Caenorhabditis elegans: one gene and its partners. The protein of the gene in region 2 interacts with the protein of the main gene of each other region in a pairwise test. Each region holds a gene or a part of one and is shown on either strand. Other genes may lie near its edges. The genes, in order: ceh-40, unc-62 and ceh-60.

Region 1 (7,901 bases), on a different chromosome or scaffold from region 2:
TGTTATTAAAATAGACATGCCACTCATAAATGCGGAAGTCTGAGTAAAGATTAATTGGATGAAACTAAATTATTGAGTTCAACAAGATCTATTGGTCAAAAATTCAAACTCTTAAGATTATACGGTAAAACAAAAAAAAGAGGTATTGTTCATAATTGCACACAATTCGTCTTCGAATTTTCTTCCAGAAGATACCTAGTATTTCTCCAACAAATAAATCATGACATTGAGAACTTTTGGTTTTCATTTTGAATTTTTTACATTGTAATCTAGGTAACTGATAATATTGACAATTTTTTTAATACACTAGTTTAAGTTATGTTTTTTTGTTTTAAAAATACAAAAACATATATATATATTTCAATAGCAGTTAACTTACTCAAAATGTATTCAAAAGATTTTATTTTCCAAACATTTCAAAATTTTAATGCTTAAGATGTATAATATGTTTTTCCAAACTCACACTCAGAAAACTCACTTGTAAAACTTGATACATTGTATAACCCAGCCACGCTTCCAAATATCTTAACAGTCCGTAACTTCTCAGTTCAATAGGAATAGCAGTTGTAATCATTCGAAACTGAGATGAACAAGAAACAACGACTAGGATAATTTGGAAAAGACTTGTGTTTAACAAGAATACTTTTAACATTTTTAGATGTGTTGGGGAGTGGTAAAAAATTAAATAAATTAACATCAACTGTGTTATTGTTGAAAAAATGAAGAAAATAGGGTAGAAGATATAAAGCACATCCCGATAAATATCCGCTCCCATTCTGAAAATTATATATGATTTGAAACGCTGCATATAAATTGTTCACGAGGTTAAGTTGATATTCAGTTTGATTGAATTTCAGTAAATAAGATCAGAAAATGGAAACGTTGCTTTTAGCGGGTTACAAAATGAAAACAGGGCGTTTCGTAGCAGATGTTTTTGAAGAAATATGTTTTTTTGTCCAATTCTGAAAAGTGGCATTTCCAATAATGACGTGAAATCTTAGAATAATATTTGAACATTTAATCAGGAATTTCAACCAACTACGACAACCTGAGCAACAAAAAGATGGAAATTAAAAAATAAGTAGAAACCCGGTTTTCGTCCGCTGGAAAGCGCGGAACATTATCATTTCAAACGATTAATATTCAAAATAAATTATCAGGCACTTAATTTTTTTTTTTTCAATTTTGCAGAACCAATTTCGAGAATTTAGATTTATGAACATTTTGTGGTTAAATTGTTGCGCGAAACGTGCCTAAATTGTGTCTGAATGCTTTTTCAATTTGTTGTTGTGAATAGCCTTAAGTAGGTTCAGTGTTCAGTGGAAATTTATCAAATATCAAAGATTTTAGATGTTAGGCAATTAATATCAAAAGTCAACATAGATCACTATATATAATAGAATTCAGCTCATCCCTTTTTCTGTATTATGCCCAATAATATATTCATTATTGTTTTTATTTTGTCCACACATTTATGACAAGTTTGACTAACTATTGACAAATACTATCCAAATTTAATTACTGACTATGATTGTTTATTAAAACTTTACCATGAATTGGCAATTCAAAACATGTTTTAAAACGAAAAAAAAAAGAAAATATTGAAGGATCAAAAGGAAAACAAAAAAACAATGTGAAACAACGAGATTCAGGTAGACATTAAAACTTCAGAAATTTGACAAGAAGTAGGCGGTGGAATAGCTAAAGATTAAAAAAGACTATGTCAAAATATCCACTAACAGTTTTGACTTTGCAACTTTTTATGGTACTTGGCAGCAACGTATTCCTCGTGAATCGATAATGACTTCTCATCGACATCATCAAGAAGATCAAAAAGAGCACAGCACAGTGCATCCATTTCTTTGTTTACTCCCTTCTTGCAATTTTCATAGATTGTCTTGAGAACATTTACGCGTTCATCGTGTGGTGCAATGATCGAATTCAATGTGTCCAAGCGCATCTGTGAAACCGATGCCGCAATTGATCGGAGTGCTGAAAATTAAACAATATTAGTGATAATTAGACACTGCTCTAAACGAAATATAAATTTTGCTTGCATGTTGATAAACAGTTCCGCTTGCCATTAAACATCAGTTTCTCTAATAAAATTTATGTTCAAAATTTAGAAATGCTTACTCTCTGATTTCCACTTGAAGTATGCTTCAAACTTGTGGTGAACTTGAGATCTCGCCAATTTGCAGTAGTACAGTTCGTTTACGAAGTTGCTATTCTCAGGTTCTGGTTTTTCCGTCTTACTGAGAGACGATGAAGCGGAGCAATGAGAGCTCTCCGATGAGCATGACGACACTGACGATTCTTGTTTTCTTCTTGACATGATTCTCGTCTCACGACGAGCTGGAGATCTACTCTCCACATCGAGATTGTCTTTTTTGATGTGAGACTTGATAATCGTTAGGCCAGAAAATTGGCGGGACAAAGATCGGAGAATGGGGGTCTCGACTAGTTCCTTTGCTTCGTTCTCGTTTTCATAGAACACCTCGTCGTTTTCATTTTTAGCATTCTCCTGCTCGTCAAAATTTTCTTGAACATCTGCCTTTTCTTCTTCTTCTTCATTTTGGCTCTGTTTCAGAAAAGACTCCTTCCTGAACACAGGACCATCGCACACATCTTCTCCTTGCTCTTCTTTTTCGGTCTCATCAACAGTCTCATCGTCAGTTCCGCCACTTTCAAACTTCTGCACCAATCTGCTCACTTTTCGGAGGCTATTTAAAGTTTCATCATGAAAGGCTGACTTCTTTTTATCTTTGTTCGGGGTAAACATGATATCCTCCATCGCTTGCCTATAGATTCCAGCGTTGGAGTAGGAGAAGTCATTGCAACACGACATTGTTGTACTGAAATTTAAAAAAAATTATAGGTATTGTATAACCAGTTGAAAAATTGAGAACGTTAAAAAAATGTGGAACAAAAGAGTAAGATTGAAAAAAAAAAGTCCAAACAGTTGTTTTCGAGACGGAGAATAATTGAGAGTGTAAACAGAAGACCATTCGTTCAAATACAAAATGAAGAAAACGAGGAATTAGATATTTTTACACTTATTTATATCGATCGATATTGCTAACGCGACATTAGACTCTCATCCCACTCCTTTCCCGACTCTTCAACCCATAAATCGTCAGAGGAAAACAACATGTAGCAATGGGAACATTGACACCCTTCCAAGTTTGGCAGATAATCTTTGTTGACTGCAAAACTAATAACTAAAAACTGCAGCTTAACAGTGAAATCAGAAAAAATTGCACCATTTAATTTTGTTCTGTTGTTTCTACAGGCTTCTTCAAAAAAGTGACTGTCCACTATCTTCAGATTTAATTGAAAAAAAGCATAATTCAAATTTGGTTACTATATAACGCAACTTTGCTTCTGAGAAAAAAACAATAAAAAATGCATTAACTTGTAAGATTGAGAACACAAAAAAAAACGATTAGGCAACATTAAGAGCAAGAAAGAGGAGAACAATGGGCGAATAATCCAATATGTGGGAAACGGCATCTGTTGCAACTCATATCGTGACTGAATATCGGCTGACCTTCCCATCTCACCGCACAGTTGCGCTCATTACGCAACGAACGCTTGCACACAAAAAAGTATTCGATTGACTCGCCCAAACTGCGCACATCATTTACAACCACTTGCGTTGCGTGCACCGATACTGTCTGTCAACCACAATTTGTCTTTATTCTTGACAACGTTACGTTTTTACCCCACCTCTCGCTAATGTGTCCGTCTCATCAACATTTTATCTCCAATACGTTTCCTGTCATTTATCATTAATTCTGGTTTATTGTAGACATGAGTGAGGCGTCAAAATCGATTATGGATCTGCTGTCAGAAGTTGTCAAAATTACCGACATGACTATGGATAATGAAGCTGTCAATAAATTGTGAGTTAGATTTTTGCTTATGTGCTGCCATAAATCGAAGTTTTCAAAAAAAAAAATCAACAATCGTTATGTGATGGTTTGCGCTTGTTTTTTCTGATATTCCTATAATAAAAATTCTCAATATTGTTTCATGGGCGTGTTGATGATATAAGTATTCAAATCAAAATTATTAATAAGTTTCAAAATTTTGGTCAATGTTTATAGATGTTGATAACAAATGTTCATTCATACTTAAAATACTTTGATTAGTTTACGACTCAAGAAAAAATAATGACAAGATATGCTTTTAAGCAAAGTTTCGTAAAACATCAAATGTTTAATTTTTTTGATCAGCTTTTGTAGGCAATAGCCTGTCTCTAATTTCTTTATTTGAACAGTACCGCTCCTTAAAACATTGCTCTAGTTCAACTATCATCACAAACTTCTTGAAAACTATTTTTTGGAAAAACTTTCTTAAGCAAACTCTCCGCTGGAGTGCTTATGTTTTTCTTTCAACTTCAGTATTTATCATAATATTGTTTTGGTAACTATACATTTATGGAGAAGTTGCGATAAGATGAAAACCAACACTAGAGATTACTATCAAGATACAAAAAAGAAAAGAGGATATTCACTTCCTCCTGAAAATAAAAAATAAAAAATTGTCAAAAGTATTTATGAATTTTTCAGAAAACCACAAATCAAGATCAATCCATTCTACCGAGCCGTACAAGATGTTCTAGTTGAGCAGAAGTCCAAAATCGACCTATCGACAAAGATGATGAAGGATCTTGAAGCACAAGAGAATGATGAACGGCTGGATACCATGCTCAAAGCAGAAGGAGTTGCTGGACCCGATGATAGTTTGTTGCGTATTCAGGAAGCTGCTGGAACTGACCAATACGAGTATCGTCAACAACTTTTGAAAGTGAGACGAGAGCTTGAAAATGAGACAAAAGCGTTTGACAAGGTAAGATCGTCTCATATATCACCAACCAATATACAAATTTCAGCACTGCAAAAAGTGGTGTGAGTACGTTGAAGATGTTCTCCAGCAACAAGGAGAATTCCGTCCAATCACCCAACAGGTAAGCCATAAATCTACCGGTGAAAAGATTAAACCAATTTTTCAGTCAACCGAAAAGTTTATGAACAAGATGTCCGGTAAATTTAACAAGGTCTGTTTTGTACTAAAACAGACTGCCTGCGAAGAAGTTATCCAACTGAAAAAGCGTTATCTGGATGCTCGTCGAAAGAGAAGAAATTTCTCGAAAACTTCCACCGAGATTCTCAACGAGTACTTCCTAGCAAACATCAATCATCCATACCCGTCGGAAGAGGTCAAACAGGCCTTAGCTATGCAATGTAACATTAGTGTTGCTCAGGTAAAATTGAAAATACAAAATTACATACTAAAAAATATGCATAAAAAACTTTTGAAGAATATTACGATTTGCATGAAGATAATATTGATAAGGCCTAAATTAAAAGCTCGCTAAAATGCGCCATCATCACCATTTGCGTCAGCTGTCTCCTATTAATATTTGCGCGGGAGTTTTGAATAGGAAATGTTGAAACGGTGTTCAGAATTAACGAATGCTTTAGTAGTTTCTAGAAAATGGGAAGTAAGGTTTTCTAAAAGAAACGCAAAACTAGTTCATTATTCTTTGGAATATAATTGTGGTTACATAAAATAATCGCTGTTCTATAGACACGAACCTAAAAATTATGCAACTTTTTTAAAAACTATTTTTGTCACTGTCAATATTGTCAGTGTTTCTTAACACTCTATCACTCTATTTGAAAAAATTTAGTCCCAGATATCTGCATACAATCTTACAGTAGTTTACAGTTTATTTTCAGGTATCAAACTGGTTTGGAAATAAGCGAATTCGCTACAAGAAAACAATGGCTAAGAATGAGGATGAAAGAAGAGAAAACAGAAAACCAGAAGATCGCCCTCCGCCTGGAGCTCCTGGAGCTCCGTATAGTCTGGTACCCAACGCGTTTGCAGGAATGATGAACCCATATCAGATGATGTTACCTGGTCATCAATTTCCCATCGGTGTTGCCCCTTTCAATTTTTCCATGTACAATCCTGAGATGGTAAGTTTTCATTTCAAATACTGTGAACTTGCAAAAATAGAGCAATATATGTAGTTTGTTTCAAAACCCGGATTTTTGTTAAACTTGAAAAAAAACTCGTTCTTGGATACATCAAATTCTGGAAACGATGTACTCCAAGTTGCGAGCAGCTGGAAAAGTTGAGAAACTAGGTTTTTTCTTACTGCCAGATTTTGAAATCATGCATATTCCGAAAAAAACAGTTTTCTCATTTTCAGATGGCCCAATATCAACAGTCTCTACAAAACCCAAATCAAACTCGATGACAAACTTTAATAATGCTGGTACTGAGTACTCATTCATACATTTGCCATGATGTTATAAAGTAATAAATTCATTGAAATACATCCTGTGTTCCATAAGATGTATTACTTTTTTAAGAAATTTATTTGATACTGACCAATGTTTTTGGCTGCAAAATGCAACATCACAATTTTTAGACAAGGGCTTACAATATAAATGAGGTAACAAGAACAACATAACTATTCACAGAACAGGAGATTTTCCTGAAGCGTTTTTAAAAATGTTGAGAAAGTGGTGATATTGAAAAAAAAGTTGAAATTAATTAAGTTTTTAAGAACTCAGGCCAGTTATATCCATAACAAGTAGTAGTATGAAATTTTGGTGGAACTGCGAAAATAACATGCTGAAATTGGAAACTAATGTAAAATTATATTATCTAGCGGTTAGAAACAAAATGGTGAAATGAAAATCTATGACAACCATGAAGTGGAGAGGTATTGAAAATGATCCGAAGTATAGGGAATTGATTTGGTCTGATATGATCCTATTTAAACATTTCCACATTTTGCTGAATACTTTGATATTTTGATTACTGCCTACGTGGTCCATTGGGCACAAGAACTCCGGGAGGAACATCAACTGTTCGCTCGGTCCAAAAACGATCTTCGGAATATTCGATCATCGCGTAACTGAACGCTGGTGGGTACAAATGGGCTTTTGGATGCTTCTCTGGGCAGTTTCGGGTGAGCTCAAGAACTTCTTCTATTATGGGAGGTTCGGTTTTGTAGTCCCGTGGAACATTTCTGACGAAAGTTCGGTCATCATTGTTTAATACTCTTGATTTTTTAACCAACAAAAATCGATTATCAAATTCAGTTAGAGTCCCTCCATCTTCATAGAAATGATTTCTCCTAGCGATATTTCTGGCGTAATTGACAAACTGTGCATCACGAGACATTGTTGCTTCATCTTCTCCAAGACCTAAGGTACTCGACAAAATCACTTCTCCAAATAAAATATCTATTGGCTTGTTCTTGTTTATGATGTAGATTTGGTATTGGTAATCAACGTGACGAACAGTCTGGACTGCAATGATTTTTTGCAGGCTTCCTTTATACATCACAAAACGGTCAGTGTCACTTCCTTTAACATGTAGTACGGTGTAAGGCATACCCGTCACGTCTATCACATTTCCATTATCATTTTCTACTGTTTCCGTTTGAGGTTTGTCCATTTTTTTATGCTGCTCAACTTCAATTGGATTTCCATCAGTTATTTTCTTCTTCTCCAGACTATCCAAAACCGCTTGAACCTCCTCATCGCATTCACCATCTGCAATTATTGAAAAAATCTGATTGGCTTCTGAACCTTAAAACGCTATTCTTTTGCTCAGTGCACCAAAACCCCTAATCTTATGACTGTAGTAAAACTCTAAATATTTCGAACTTTCTGGGAGGTGGAAAGTCTTAATAAACTCGATTAAAAAAAAAATATTTGATCTACTCTCTTGTTTCTTATTTATTCAAACTTACCACTATCTACATCTTCCTCTTCGCTTGTTTCGGAATCATCCAATGATTCATCGCTGCTACACTCATCATCCTCCACTTTCTGCTGAGCTCTCAAGAATCGCGGCTAAAAACTTATCCA
Region 2 (7,527 bases):
GGCCGATAATCTAGATAGCTCCACTTCCCAGTGAGCCTAGGGCAGGACTCGAACCCGTGATCTTTTGATTGCTAGCGATCACCATTACTCGCCGTAATTTGCCTTAAAATCTTTAAGCTTAACATAATTGTTTCTTAAATAGTTTTTGTATTGGTCGGCTTCATTCCGAATCACTGCTCTCTGTCGGTTCCCCGATCCCCCCTAAGGCTTAGAGGCCAGTCTAGTCACTTTTTGCTCCAGCCGGCTTGACCTAAAAATCATACACACATAAAATGGGCCGGCCTCCTCTTAAAATTGACAGATACATCTCATAAACCAATTAAGCGGCGTCTCGTTTACAACTTGACATAATGAGGTAAAATAGGGGGCGGTGCACCTGGCTGGGGGGCACACCAACAACGATTCAATCGAAATCTTTTTTTTTGTTGTGTTTCGTTAGCATTTTTGCCCCGGTGCCCACTCCTCCTCCAATTTTTTCGACGGGTTTCTATAGACCCCATCAATCATTTGTATGACTTGTCCGGTGCAAGTCCACGCAATTCTCCTTCCTTTTTTTGCCTCCGTCCCTCACTACCACCACCACCACCACCACCGACGACGAAACGTATCGATTTAAAAGGAGAGGGAAAAAGAGCGTGCGCGCGGGCCGCCCGTTTTTCAAATTTTGTTTCGTGTCCCCCCCCCCCCCCCCACCAACACCGGGCCGGCTGGTCGGTGGTTGTGATGGTGGTGGACACACGGGTTACTGTAGTAGGCATACACATCCCCTGGTACGGTATTTGGGGAGCCAGGCGAGAGAATCGAAATAGAAGCGAAGAGCAGGGGAGCAAGAGCATCGATTGCGATACGATGCGTGGAAGAAAAAACCACTGATAACTTTTTTTTTCGAATAATGTTCGGCGCACGTAGCAAAGAGCACACCGTAAGCTTATCAGTTTATACGTCAGCCTCGTTGAGCAAAGATCTGCCTAGGTTTTTGAGTATGACTATGGAGAAGAAAAAGTAGATCAGATTGGGAAACAAAATGGCAAAACTATGTACAAATGAATCAAATTTTGTTAGCCTCTAAATTAGCTTTTTTTTATTCACTCTATTTTAGAGACTTATATCTAAGTTGTCCTTAGTCTTATTAAAAAATGTTTTACTGTAAAAATGTAGAAAAATATTTGCACAAATTTTGTCAGTTGAAAATTTTTTTTACAAGCCCTAATGGGATCGAGTTATAAGCCGTCAAAGTGGAGCAAAAAGAGGCAAGGCGGATAGAGCAGTAGCTCTTTTGCATAGAAACAGTAGCTATATTGAAAATGGAAAGCTTGTAAAAAATTGGTTTAAAAATTTGTTAGCCTCATAATTTTGGCCTTTAATTTAGGCCTTTGATTAATCTTTTGAGCTGAGCCTATTACTCTAGAATTTTTGAAACAACTCAATTCTGTCAATTCAAGCAACAAAAGCACCACACGCTACCTTCCAGGAAATCTGAAATCTATAGGTTAATCTTCTTCCCGTGTCTACCATGTTACCAAACAAAGAAAAACAGTCTGAAACTTTATCCCACTTGACACCTCCTACCCCTCCTCTTCCATATGATCCTAATCTTAATCCCCTTAGAACAAAAGGCGACGTTAATAAAGTGCAGCTGGAGTATAAGTAGATGAGGGAAACGGGGGATGTGGTGCATTGAAGGGAAAAAATGTTGAAACTTTTGTATTTTAATGTTAGCATCTCTATGTCTCTACTCTCTGATTATTGATAAGGAAAATGTGTCAAAAAATGACTGTGCTCTCTGGAAGAGGCGAAAGGTTGCGATATTTTATTACATTCATAGGTGCACATTTAGTTGACAATCTGGAAAGTGTAGTTTCAGAAGGATCTTGTTTAATTAATTAATTTTTTGTGGAAACTTGGAAATAGCTGACTAGGTTTGGTAGAGCTTTTTTGATTCCTGATAATGAATTTGAAAAATTAGGACATTGTCCGCAATTTCCTTAGTAGGCTTGCACCCGTCTTGCTCCACTTTAACAGCTTCTATCTCAGCTCTCTTTGATTTTATCAGAAAAATTTTAACTGACAAAATATGCGCAAAATGTTTTTCTATATTTTACCAGTTAAACATTTTTTGATCCAATCAAAAGCAACAGAGATATAGGCCGTCAAAATAGTTTCTCACATTTTCGGTGGAGCAAATTTCTTTCAGAAACCGAACTCACTTTTAGATTTTTTTTTAATTTCCAAACTAGTCACATTTCCTCAGCTCATGCTCATTCACATGACAAAAAACTTCCGGTGAAACTGGCGGTATAATGAAACTTTTTTTTCAGTCTCATACCGTACATTACATAAACCTTATCAAATAAAAAGAAACTAGTTCCAATCTTCATTCTTTCCACTTTATTTTTCCTTAGCACTTACATTTTTTTTGTTCGAATTTCAAAAATATAATGAGAACAGCTTTGTGCACCTAGTGGGGGCAAAAACGAACAAAAGCAATTTATCTTCAATGCGGAGGACATTGGACACAGGACAGCAGCATGTAAACTTGAATTTGCCCTCCTGGTTCATCTCTTGCGGAGCCTATTTATTATTTTTTTTTTCGAATCCATCCCTTTTTTTTTGGTGTGCTTTTTGTGCTTTCGGGCCACGAGGACCCATCTGCTGTTGCTCACGCACAGACTCTTTTGATAAATGATAATGAGTTTCACGTTTTCTTTTTCAAAATTTAATATTTCTCTCTTGCAGGAACATGAGCGGCGACTCAAAAGTGTGGGCTCACGCGTCCGCTGACACTTGGGCTGTTCAAAATGGAATTTCGACGTACGATTTGGACACGTCGAGCATCAAACGAGAGAAGCGGGATCACAATGAGGTAAAATTTAAGAATTGGTTGTTGTTTTAATTTGCGACTAAATTTCCTAATTAAATTGATTTCTGAAAATTGAAAAAATTTTTGCCGATTAAAAAATTCTTTAGGATCTTCACATTGTAGTTTAAGAAATTCAAAAATCAATTTTTAGAATTAAAAATAATTTTATAAATCGAGCTTTGAAGGGTTTTGTATTGTCTGAAACTTCAAAACTTTTGGAATTTCGGAAAAAAAAATGAAAAAAATGTTCAAAATGAACTGTAATTTTTCAGTTCTGTTACGATAAAATGCTTTCAGAAAATTGATAAAATCTATAAAATCAAAATTGTAAAAATTTTAGAGTTTCGAAATTGGTTTTTCATTGAAATATAAATTTCAAGAAACCGGGAAAAAATATTGTAATATTTCGCAAAAATTTGAAACATCACATTAAAGGCACACATTGTTTTTTTTTCTGAGTTGGTCTCGCCACAGGAGCTAAATTCAACAGATTTTTTTTCATTTGACATAGGAAAACAAATTTCAAATTCGGAAATCCACTAAAAATTCAGAATTTATTATGAAAAAAGTATATTAAAGGTGGAATAGCGCCAGTGGGAATTTTGTCTAAATACACTTATAATGATCCAAAACGACCGAATATTATAATAAAACACCCCACAAAATTTTAGCTTTTTCATAATTTCCGTTCAAACTTTTGCCAAATTGCCAAATTTTTGAAAAATATGAGCTTTCGAGGAAATCCAAAGCAATGTCGCATGTTTCGCCCCCTACAATGTTTCAACACGAATAATTAAAATAAGCTTAAAGTGTAAAAAATGTAGGAAAAAACTTTTTTTGGTCGACTTCCAAAATTATGAGTAACAAAAACTGAGTAATTGTCACTTTTTGACCGCAAATAAAAAAATTTAAGAAAATTTTTGATTGTTTTGATGTTTTTGTTTGATGTGTTTGTTTGATGATGTTTTATTACGATATTCGGTCATTTTGGGACCATAGGAGTGGTTTTTAACAATTTCCCCATTGGCGCTACTCCACCTTCAACAACTACCATAAAAATCTAAGAACATATTTTTTGGGTTTACAACCTACCAGTTAAAGTTCATAGAGCTAGTTCCACACATCCACGATATAATATGCAATTTAACAGCCGATGATCCGATTATCAATATCAACAGCATAAAAGCAATAACAAAATCCTGATAATTTTCACACAAATTGTCCGCCGCTTTTATCTTTTCTCTCCTCATTCTTCTTCGTCTCATCATCGCTCCCCCCCCCCCCCCCCCCCCCCCCACCGACCGATTTATCTCTTTTAATCACATTAATCATGTGTTTCTTATCGAGGGTGGAAAATTGGAAAATTGATAGGCGACATGGAATTTGGCTGCCAAGAATCGGGTACTACTTGGTAGAAAATGTAAATTTGTGTTAGCTGGAAAACCTGAGGTCCCCCACACTTGACTTTTTGCCTCGTCTCGCTAAAACAAAAAAAAGAGGAAAATGCAATGCATGTATTTTTTCGTCGTCGTCGTCGTCGTCGTTTTCTTCGTGTTTGACTTCTTCTACTCCTCTCCAAATTTGCCTTCTCACCCTCCTCTCACACCCGGGGTCTACTGTACCGAATTGAGTGCCTATTGGCGCAATAGGGCGGGGCCCCGGCGCATCGCTCTCTCTCTCACTCACTCCTTCTCTCGAGGGGGGCTAACAGGGGAAAATAGACTGAGAGAGAGAGGAGAAGGCAAGCGAGTCGATCTGCCCCCCGGTTGCCCGTTTCTCTCTCTTTCGGTGGTTTCTCGTATTTTTCCCCCACCAGGGAGAGTCAGAGAGAGGGAGCCCCGCCCACATTCACCCCACCAACCCTCCCCCCAACGATCGGACAAGATTGACATACAACCGTTTTGAAGTGTGTGAGAAGTTGTCATTTTCGATATTCATCTGTCTGTCATATTATTTACGTTCGTTCCATCATCATCGACATCACACGCAGGGCAGAGAAGAACACACGCCGCCACCGCCGGCCCATCAAATCGGCACACTAATCAATCGATCAACGAGAGAAGAAGAAGAAGGGGCGGGCGACAAGCTCTGACCATCATCGTGTGTGTGACAGACTGACTGACTGACACCCCGTTGTGGAAAGAGTTTTCGATCCCGACACGACCATCGTTCATCTTATTCAGCAAGGCCCCGTGTGTCGGCAACGACGATGGCGCAGAGGGTACTTCTTCTTCTTCTTCTCCTTCATTCCGTTTCCCCTCTGCTTCTTCTGACTTTGACATGATACCAGAAAGAGCGCCATCCCTTTTTCCTTTTCTCCTCTATAATTTATCGTTGTGTTGGGTGGTGGCTCGAGCTCATTCTTGGGTTTCCAATCAGCCATTGCGCCCCCCACCGCGCCGTCGCTGTCGCTTTTTTCCCGCTTTCTAGATCTCAAAATTGCAATTTTTAGGTGTTCGCCTTGTTTTAAGCGCTGGTTAGTTACAATATAGTTTCCCAAGCTTCAGAATATAGAAAAACTTGACCCCAAATACCTCGAAAAGTCGTATCTCTGCTCATCTCTAGAAAATCAGTGAATATAATACTTTAAAACTATAGTTCTAGAAAAAACAAATATTTTGTCAGCTTAGAACTTTTTGTTTTAACTGAAAATTACAATGAGCTGCCAAATTGAAGCTACGGTCTGCAAGACTAACAGTTGCACCCCATCGTCCAACTTTGACAGCTTATATCTCAGTTTTCGTTCATCCTATATAAAAATTGTCAACTGGCAAAATCCGTATTATTTCTTTTTCTATAATTTTGTAGTTGACTATTTATTTATATCTTCTAATTGAACCGTGATATAACTTTTCAAAGTGAGGTAGTGAGGTGGAATACTATCGACTTTTGCAAATCGTTAAAATAACACCAGTGAATATTTCAAAATATAAGTACTTATATTAAGCCCCTCATTCTTAAATTTTTCCTTGCATCGATTAGTTTTAGTTTTAGTTTCCGAAGCCAACACAAGAATCACAAATAGTTTTACGATCTTACCGACAGTATCACTTTTTCTCGGGAATCATTTGAAAAAAGATAAGAAAATGTCCCAAATTCCACCCCTTTTCCCCGTCTTCCCCGCTGACTAATAAAACCCATTAAAATGATTTTGATGAGCTTGGGCTACTGCTTAGAAAAAATGCCTATGACCACCACCACCAATGGTTCCAAAAAGTGTCAAAAAATTGGCCTCTTTAGTTATCAATACAATTTATCAATTAATCAATTTGAGAGACAAGACACAGAAAAAAGAAAAAAGAAAAAAAAATAGGAAAGCGTGGTTTCAATTTCTCACTTTATCCTTCCACCGTTATCCCCGTTCACATCTTCTTTTACCCGAATCGGGGGGCCGAGAAGATTTATTTCGTCAAAAAATCCGCCTATCATCTTGCCGAAATCTGGAACGGCGCCCCTTTGTACCGAAATTTCGAAAAAAAAAAGATTTTGGAGGAAAACTAAAATTATTGATTTTTTTTTTGCAAAATTTTTGCTAGCCATGTCAGAAGAAGAGATAAGATTTTACCCATAAATCCCTCACATATTTAGGCGCCTTTTAATAAAATTATCTAATCTTATCCATATTTTTTCAGCAGTTCAACGATGGATATGGTCCACCACCGGGCTCGGCGAGCGCCGACCCAGCCAGTTATATTGCCGATCCGGCGGCGTTTTACAATTTGTACACGAATATGGGTGGCGCGCCGACGTCAACTCCGATGATGCACCATGAGATGGGTGAAGCCATGAAACGGGATAAGGAGTCTATTTATGCGTGAGTTTTTTTTGAATTTTAATTTTATAAAGTCTGCCTACAAGGCCTGCCTTGTGCCTGTTTTTTTTTCAAAATTAAACATTCAACAAGTCATCAAAAATTTGTGAAAAAAATTCAAAAGTAGGCGGTAGGCAGGCAAAACATAGGTCCTCATGTTTGGAGACGTGCCTGAGAAGCTGAAGCTAAAAAATTTTGACGTAAAAAAAATTAAAAAATTTCAAAATTTTCTGCTTCTAAATTTCGTTAAAATTATTACATTTTCAAAATACTTTCAAATCGCTAAAAAAAATTGATTTTTAACAATTTTCAAATTTTCAGCCATCCACTCTATCCACTTCTAGTTCTCCTATTCGAAAAATGCGAGCTCGCCACGTCAACGCCCCGAGACACGTCACGCGACGGATCCACGTCATCGGACGTGTGCTCCAGCGCGTCTTTCAAAGATGATCTCAACGAATTTGTAAGACATGTAAGTTTCGGGGAAATAATAAAATGAAAAAAAAGAAAGTTTTACAGACCCAAGAGAATGCTGACAAGCAGTACTATGTACCGAATCCACAACTAGATCAAATTATGCTCCAATCGATTCAGATGCTTCGATTCCATCTGTTGGAGCTTGAAAAGGTGAGCATGAAAATTGAAATGAAATTCAACAAAAAAAACGTAATGCAAAAAAATAATCGTCTGCGTCTCGTACTTTATTTATTTTTTAGACAAAAAGTTGAGACTCCGCTTTGTGTGTGTGTGAACAGTTATCAGTTATCAGCTCCGCGTTCTGAAATGCACTTTCCCAATTTGGGGCGCCGACTGGCACCGTATCAGTGTGTTGAAGAGAGCTAGTTGAAAAAAGTGC
Region 3 (7,929 bases), on a different chromosome or scaffold from region 2:
GCCTCTGGTGAGAATAAACAAGGCTTTCAATTTGTCTGCTCGATGATGCATGATGTTTACGATACTTTCGGATTAAAATAATCGTGAGATGGATTTGCACGAAAAGGTTGCGGAACGAACAGCTCGAATGATATTAAATGATAATCTCGAATTGTCAACAAAGTACATTATGAAGTGATAGGAACTGTTGTTCGCAGACCTGAGATGTTTTGAAAACTTGATTTTAAAACCTACGCAACCGGAAAATTAAAGATCACAAGATTTCTGTGAGGATCATAACGGGTGTAGGTAGCAACTTTATCTCGGTGTTTCCACATTTCTATTTCAGGCTTAAAAACAAAGTTGGTCTTTTTCGTTCTCAAGTTGAGCTCAAGACAGAAGTTGGGAAAAATATCATTTTCAGATTACCAGCAAACTTTTCAAAACAGAGCAGAAAGAAGAAAACTGATCATTCGTGATAAAATATTTAGTCTCCCGAGGATGAAAAGTTTAAGGAAGTTAACTTTTTTATCTGTTGTTAATAACCTATTTTTTAGATTGAGTATTCAACATATGTTAAAAAAAATGTTTTCACTTCAAAATTTGGAAGAAAATTAGGTACTTTTCCGATTTTTGCCCCCCAAAATATGTTTTACTCAATATTTCAATTTAAATTCACACGTGAATGTTTATTTTAATACTATTTCAAATTTTTAGGCTTAGAAAAAACAATACTAAGCCTGAAATTACAAAAAAGTTCACGTTTCATTAATGAAAATATCGAAACATTTTGGGGGGGCAGAAATCGGAAAAGTACCGAAAATTAACTTAATTAACTTGATAAGTTCAAAACTTGTCTGAATAAAGTAAAAAAACCAAAGATTTTTAAAAGTTATAAAGTGATGCTTTTTGATTATCTATCGTATCCAAACAGGTGGTCAGACAAAACAAACGACACCTCGTGAGAATATCCAGACAGCTAACAAGTGACTGTGAAACAAGGAAAAACTTCAGAACACATATTAACTGAAAAAAAAAACACTTAATTTTTCTTACTTTTCTCTATTTTGTTCTCAATTGATATCATCTCTTTGCCGCTGGTTTTTCTTGCTCTGACTCTGAGCAAGATTTTTATTGGCACGTGAAAAAATTGCATCATTTCAGGGCACCACTGAGCGTGGTCCTGTAGCATGTGACCAACAAAAATTACGAAAAGAAATTAAAAATTTGTTTACTTGAAATTGTTGTAAGTTATAAAAAAGTTCCCTACTCTTGATAAGAACGTCTTATGGAATTCGATATGGATTTTTTTTAATTATGTGTACATTTTTTTACCTAGATTTAGAATTTGAGCCGCGTTAGGGGGGGCTTTTGTGTAAAATTGATTTTTTACAGACGTACAAATCTGTACGAAAAAACCAAAAACAAAAATAGTAATAAGACGACTTGTATACGCGAAACGATAGAATAATTTTGCAAACAAAAATTCTCAGCTTCTGAAATTCTAAAAAAAACGAGTTCTCGCGTGTATTTCTCTCGAGCAATCACTTGATTTATTTTTTGATTGTTCAAACGTTTTTATTTTTCCCTTTATTTTAAACTGAATTATAACAACAATAATTAGTAATTCATAAAAACAATTTGAACTGAATACTAGCTCAACAACATCTGTAATTAGTGGAAATTTCTGTTTTAGCGACATAGTAATTTATAACAACGAGTGTTGTTCCGTTTTAAGTTGTATGACTTTTAAAAGTTGACAACATGCAAAAAAAGATTAATAACCATTTTTATAGTGCTGAAAAGACTAAATGTCTTGATAAAACTTCTCAAAATACTTTTGAATTTTTTTGAGATAAAAAAGGGTTAATTATTGTTTAACTACTTACAGTGTTAAAATAAGAATATTTTGAACACAAATGTAAAATTGAAGAAATAATTGTTTGTTTTATGTGAAGCATCTGATGGAGTCATAACTAACTACTGTAAAGTTCAAGACGATCAAATAGTGGCCTTGCAAAACTAATGGTATTATCCTCACTTCAGCTAGCTGATCCATTTAACTGATAGTCATAAAAACATGAGCAAGTGTATGATATATTACAAAATATAAAAAATGTGCTCGCATGTTTTTCAGTTGTGAAAACATAATCCTTGATGATATTTACCGTTGAGTAATAAGCCAAGAGAAAGAACAAGTGTAATGGTTTGGCATTTTACTACACAATCAAAGTTCTACTACGATTTCGGATTCCCATGGGTACCTTGTGTGCTGTTGTACTTTCATTGTATTATCTAGTTTTTATACACAAGTTTTGAAACATCAGGTAGATATGCAACAAAAAAACTATCCAAATGCAATACTTAAATTGAGTTTCGGTGATTGGCATGTAATTGAAAAGAAATCGCAACATTTGGGGAATGGTGTTATCAGTGTACATGGTGCACTTGAGCATGGAAGAAAAAACCACTAGAACCGTTCTTTTATCAGTTGAACGTGGTTGTTCAATTATTTTTTCCGTCGCTTTCCATATCGTTTTCTCTTTGAAATTTTCCAATTTTTCCTGATTTCGTAATATATGACAATTAAAATCATCTAATGAGATTAGTGAAGTGTTTGCTATGACACAAATTTGGGTTCGGTTTCTTTTTGTGTAGAAAGGGAAAAGGAAGAGGTGTCACGTAATAAGTCAACATTTATCCTTATGAATTTGAGCGACAGAAAAGGCGGCCCAAATGACAGTAATCCAATAATAATGTTTGCTCTAACAATATCAATAACCCAAATCTACGAGCTACTAGTGGTAGTCTTACTGTACAGTTATTTTCATTTATTGAACACATTTTTGGATTTTTTAATTTTATGTATAAAATTTTTTTGTAACATTTAGTAAAACATAAAATAATAAATAAAACATTTCTATGCATATTAACAAGTAAACTTGACAGGATTTTTTTTTCAAATTCATATCTTAGTAATGATCTATAAAAAATGATGAAATTAAACTCAGTTTTTATCAAATTACACCGATGAATAGAAAAGAAAAAACCTAGACAGAATTCGTACCACCTATTTTAGTTTTTTTTTTTCGTGATTTTTCAAAATTGTATTTAGACACATCACAGCTCTGTGTTGTTGCGTTCACAACCGAGTGCATCACACCGATCTTTGAGAGATGGATAATCTTATTAAGCAGCTCCAAATGAGCGTCTCAAGTGAAAACGTCGACAGGAATTTTATTGAGTGAGTTAAAAAAAAAACTTTTGAGCAGCAAAACAGGATTTAAAAATAAATTGACCTCTATGAAAAGAACACTGTTTAATAGATGTTGGCATGACCTATTTTTCAAAAATGTACATCTAAACGGTATTAGATAGGAATAAACTTCTAAGAAAAAAAGCAAAAAAGAAGAAAAATTTAGTTGGGTTTAGGCAAATCTTGATTGTTTGATATTCTATAGTTTGAATGTTTTCATAAGTGATATAAATGACTAATACATATGATCTGCAAAACATCCAGATCAGAGATTCGTCTAGGCATCGTAAGAAGTGTAGTTTGTGATTGAAGAAAATTTATAGAAATGAGAGAACCTGATTCAGATACCGATTTTTATATTTCTTATAAACTGGGTCGGGAGGTGAATCTAAACAGGTCATCTTCCTAGAAAATTTTAGAAAAACATCAGGGAATAGGTGAGACAGTTTTCAGTTCGAGTCATCTTACAAATGATGTGACATATGAATCATAACAGTAGATGCTGATTAAGTTTACACCCCTAGAGAACTATTAGTGAAGTGATGATCATTATTTTTTGTTACCGCTGAAATAGTAAAAACTTATATTAAAAAATTGCAGAAAATGCATCGAAATGAATCCCTGTCGCCGGATGCTTCACGAAGTGCTACTTGAAAGAAAAGACATTTTACGTAAGCAAAGAATGAAAAATCAAAAAGTTATGCAGATTTAGAAAAGGTGAAGGTCACATCCGGTGGTCTTTTACAGAATCAAAAGTTTATGACTATGATATAGCGAAAAGACTCTCTAGTTTAAACAAATTGAAGTTTCAAAAATAATAAAAAAACGGAAGTATGAAATGGATCAGAAATTAACACATTTACATTTCAGGCTCTCGGATGAACTTGGTTGCGTTGTATGATACAGATGAACAATCCTCCGAAATTGAGGAAATTCTCGTGAGTGAATAAGTTTTTAAAGTTACATGAAATAGTTTGTGACATTTTTCAATTGAAAGATGAAGCTTATTCTATGTTGAAAGGATTTACACTAATACTACGGAGCTAAAATAACCATATAGTATAGTAAAAGATTCAAACGATTTTGGCAAATTTTTAATTCAAGTCAAAAAATCGTGAAATCGCTGTTTTCACAAATTTTTTGGAAGTTGTCATTCATTTAAACACCAGTTTCTTTCAGTTCTACGGTCTATGAACTATTGTGTTTGCAATTTTTATATTCCAACACTGTTTGGGTTTGAAAAAACGACACTATTTCAAATTTCTCGATAAGTGGTGCAATCTCACTTTTTGACCCGACATAAAAAATTATCAGAATTTTTTTGAGAAGATTTAGTATGATATTCGGTCATTTCAGCGCCACAAACTGGTTTAAAATTATTACCCCATTGGCTGTACTCTTTTAAAACAAATCATTAGAACTGAAAAATTAGACAAGCAACAAAAATTGTAGGCTCAATTCGAAAATCCTACATTTCCGTTGGAAGAGGTCAACACTGAGAAAGACGAGGAATGGCAACCCTTAGAAAGGAAATATTTGGACGGAATTAACCGTATAAAAGAAGACACTATCATGAAACAAATTCAACTGGACAAGGTGATATTTCATATTTTCAAAAAAACAAACTGATGCGGTAGGCGTAACAAAATTTGACATTTACTCAAGCTTGTGAGAAGCTTTAAATCCGATTTTTGATTTGTAAATACTTTTCAAATTTAATTCAGAATATTTCAGGATATGGAAAAAGCCCTGACTAATAGCGAAGAAGTACTCAGAAATCATCGCGATTTTAGACCGATCGACGAAAAGGTAAAATAATTATATTAATTTGTAGAAGAGATATCGAGATTATTATTTGAGATTAGAGAGCAAAAAAAAAATAACAAAACACAAAACTGAAGTTGAAAAGTCAGGCGAACGAATAGAAGAATAGAAAACAACCAGCTTATTAATTTGTTGTTTGTGAATTTTACACTTTTGAATGACTTTTTCTGAACAAAAGTCAGTTTTTCTGAATCCTACTGTAATCCAAAAAAAAGAAAACTAATCCATTTTGGTTTTTCTTCAATTTTTGAAACGATCGAGATCATCACTTGTTGAGATTTAACGCAAGATCAGATCAAATTTTTTTCATTATAAATTTGTTTTTTTTTAAGTTAGGATTATAATTTTACGTGCAAAATTCAATATTCACAATTTCCCGTAAAAAACAAACACAAACCATGATAAATATGTAGAAACCCGTACAAATGTCACATATAATACACAAAATATGAACTTTTTTAAATGCTAACAAAGTCAATGTGTTTTCATTAGGTCCAAATTCACGAAGATTATTGAAAATGTTTCAGGATTTCTCTAACATTCGGCAAAGCATTTCCAAAAGGTTCGAGCATTCGAAAAATAACATTCGCGGGGAGGCAGCAACTAAAATTCTAGTTCTCCGGAGGGAGATCGAGCAGCAGGGGTGAGTTTTTGGATATTCCACCATTATTACATATATTACTATCATATCTCATTACCTAACATTTTAATTTGCAAGTAGACATTACGCTAGTTGACATTAATCCGAAATTAGAATAACTTCCGTGAGACTACTTGTTCCGTCCCTTGTGAGGTCTAGGTTTTGCAAGACACTCAACATACAAAATCATAAATTCAAAAAAAAAATGATGTGGAATACGTTCTCAAATCATGTTGCTTTTTAATAAACTTCGTTGATATTCCAGACAGATGAACACTGAAATGAAAAAGTTCATCGGCTTAGGAACTAAACATCTGAAATTCGTAACAATAATAAACAATTTGAAAACTGAGACAAACTTAATTCTTCACATGATTTGGATTCATATTCAAAACAACGCAGATCACATTTTGTCGGATTTCGTTTGAAACTAACTTTAACGCATGGATCATACAAATTGTTGCTGAAACCGATTTTGTTTCAGACGCAAGCGCCGGAACTTTGACAAAAACACGACGGACATTTTGCAAAACTGGTTCCACGATCATCGTCAAAATCCTTACCCGTCCGACCAGGAAAAGGCGGAATTAGCAAAACAGTGTAATATCAAAATTTCACAGGTAAGATCAGTTGTACGATTAGAAAGGTGTGTGATGCTCAATTTTGTTTTATAAAAAACAATGTCTGAATCAGACTAAATTGAATTATGTCGGTGACGTTAAAGTCTTAAACCTCGAAAGATAGAATATCCTCGAAAAAAATATACTGAACTGATTCAGACTACACATGAAGACTTTACTATTTAAACTAGTGTATGATTATTGGCTTAAAACTAGACTATTCAGCAAAATAGACCTCTAAAAAGAGAACATATTGAAATTATCAAAAGTGGAGTTATCAATTTGGAGCTTGACGACTTGCCGCAATTATAAAATAAACTACCAAAATATGCAACAAAAAATGATAGTTTTTAAAAAATCAACTACGGACAGATACGACACAGAAAACTGGGCAAAATTCGAGATTTTAGCTAAAAACAGTGTTTTTTTTTGACATTTTGAACCGCCATAAAAAATTTTAAAATTTTTTGATCAGTTTCTCTACGGAATTTGTTCATTTGAGCCCATTTTTGGCCAATACGTTTAAAATCGTCCGATCCGTTAATCCTCCTTTAATTTACTAGAGGTCTAGAAGAGAAAAATTTAGTAATGTTTGAACATTCTCAAAAAATCCAAATCTTTCAAAACTTGTTATTGCCGTTTGAAATTTCACGAAAAGAGTCACATTTCGCTAAAATGCCTAATTTCTCCAACTCGTCTATGTCACATCGGATGAAAACCACAAGAAAAAAATTGAACTATCACTTTTCATTGCATATATTGACAGTTTATTACTTACCTTTTGAGTTGCTAGGCACTTAATTTCGGTAATTTTTAGGTGTCTATTTTACTTAAAATGTACCTATCTACTTAGAATGTATCAACAAATGAATATATAAGTATACGGCTAACAGTGTGCAATACAGGGTTAAATAGTAGCTTGAAAAATCGAAGATTGAAACTAAATAAAACAGTACACAACCGTCCATAAAGATTTTTCAGACAGATTGATTTATGGAAATATAGATAAAAGTCTCATGAAAACATTTCAAAAGTTTTTTGAGTTACAACAAAATTGAAATTTTGGAATTTAACCCAGATAATAAAGACAATTTTGACCTAGAAAAATATATGAATGTCGTTGAGACTAACATAGAGTTTGCATAAAAGCCTTTATATTATTCTTAATAGATATGACTTTTTGATATTCACAGAAATTGCGATTTTTTTTTCAAAACTCTAAAACTATTAATAGTCAATCATAAAAACAAAAAAAATTATATCATTTGCGAACAGGTGTCATTGAACAAAACTTTGCGACCTTCAATTATATGCATTGTTCTTTTTTTGGAAAAAATGAACATGCGAAGCAAGAAGAAAACTAAGCTTTCGGGTTAAATATAAAAATTCTTGTTTCCACAAATTCAGAATTTTTTTTGAGATGAAGTGAAGTTAGTAGGGTTATAGTAAGAGTTATATGCAAACACCTGAACATCTTTAGATATTATTCTGTTGCAAGCTGTTGCTTGAAGCTTGAAGTCTAATTGGAAAATTGCATGTGAAAATTCAAGGAAATTGTGTATTGTGAGTACGTGGGCAGCAAAAAATAGTGAATCGTATTTTTAAAAGTG

Evidence for each region.
Region 1: the proteins of unc-62 (region 2) and ceh-40 interact in binary tests that used the Caenorhabditis elegans proteins (3 or more experiments, as listed by UniProt).
Region 3: the proteins of unc-62 (region 2) and ceh-60 interact in a two-hybrid assay, tested with the Caenorhabditis elegans proteins (2 studies listed by BioGRID, with this or other methods).

What each region holds. Positions count from the first base shown.
Region 1 is NC_003284.9:12,316,613-12,324,513, reverse strand, and holds ceh-40 (Homeobox protein ceh-40), read left to right. Parts: upstream 1-3,736; 5' UTR 3,737-3,813; coding exon 3,814-3,905; intron 3,906-4,574; coding exon 4,575-4,854; intron 4,855-4,897; coding exon 4,898-4,972; intron 4,973-5,017; coding exon 5,018-5,269; intron 5,270-5,747; coding exon 5,748-5,990; intron 5,991-6,226; coding exon 6,227-6,274; 3' UTR 6,275-6,388; downstream 6,389-7,901. Other genes in the region: srd-40 (Serpentine receptor class delta-40), read right to left, coding at 1-39, 479-775; F17A2.13 (uncharacterized protein), read right to left, coding at 1,736-1,992, 2,137-2,848; xtr-2 (MX region of TRA-2 Related), read right to left, coding at 6,841-7,583, 7,784-7,886. UniProt on the Caenorhabditis elegans protein: Plays a role in regulating gene expression in dopaminergic neurons, acting redundantly with homeobox protein ceh-20 in head neurons.
Region 2 is NC_003283.11:4,494,727-4,502,253, forward strand, and holds the start of unc-62 (Homeobox protein unc-62), read left to right. Parts: upstream 1-2,736; 5' UTR 2,737-2,740; coding exon 2,741-2,863; intron 2,864-4,603; exon of another isoform or gene 4,604-5,069; coding exon of another isoform or gene 5,070-5,081; intron 5,082-6,492; coding exon 6,493-6,674; intron 6,675-6,992; coding exon 6,993-7,143; intron 7,144-7,190; coding exon 7,191-7,298; intron 7,299-7,527. UniProt on the Caenorhabditis elegans protein: Acts redundantly with ceh-20 and ceh-40 to perform overlapping roles during embryogenesis.
Region 3 is NC_003284.9:6,525,312-6,533,240, reverse strand, and holds the start of ceh-60 (Homeobox protein ceh-60), read left to right. Parts: upstream 1-3,094; 5' UTR 3,095-3,155; coding exon 3,156-3,223; intron 3,224-3,835; coding exon 3,836-3,906; intron 3,907-4,105; coding exon 4,106-4,173; intron 4,174-4,687; coding exon 4,688-4,831; intron 4,832-4,969; coding exon 4,970-5,044; intron 5,045-5,586; coding exon 5,587-5,702; intron 5,703-6,183; coding exon 6,184-6,319; intron 6,320-7,929. UniProt on the Caenorhabditis elegans protein: Probable transcription regulator which binds to DNA, repressing genes involved in longevity and stress, while activating genes involved in reproduction, such as the vitellogenins.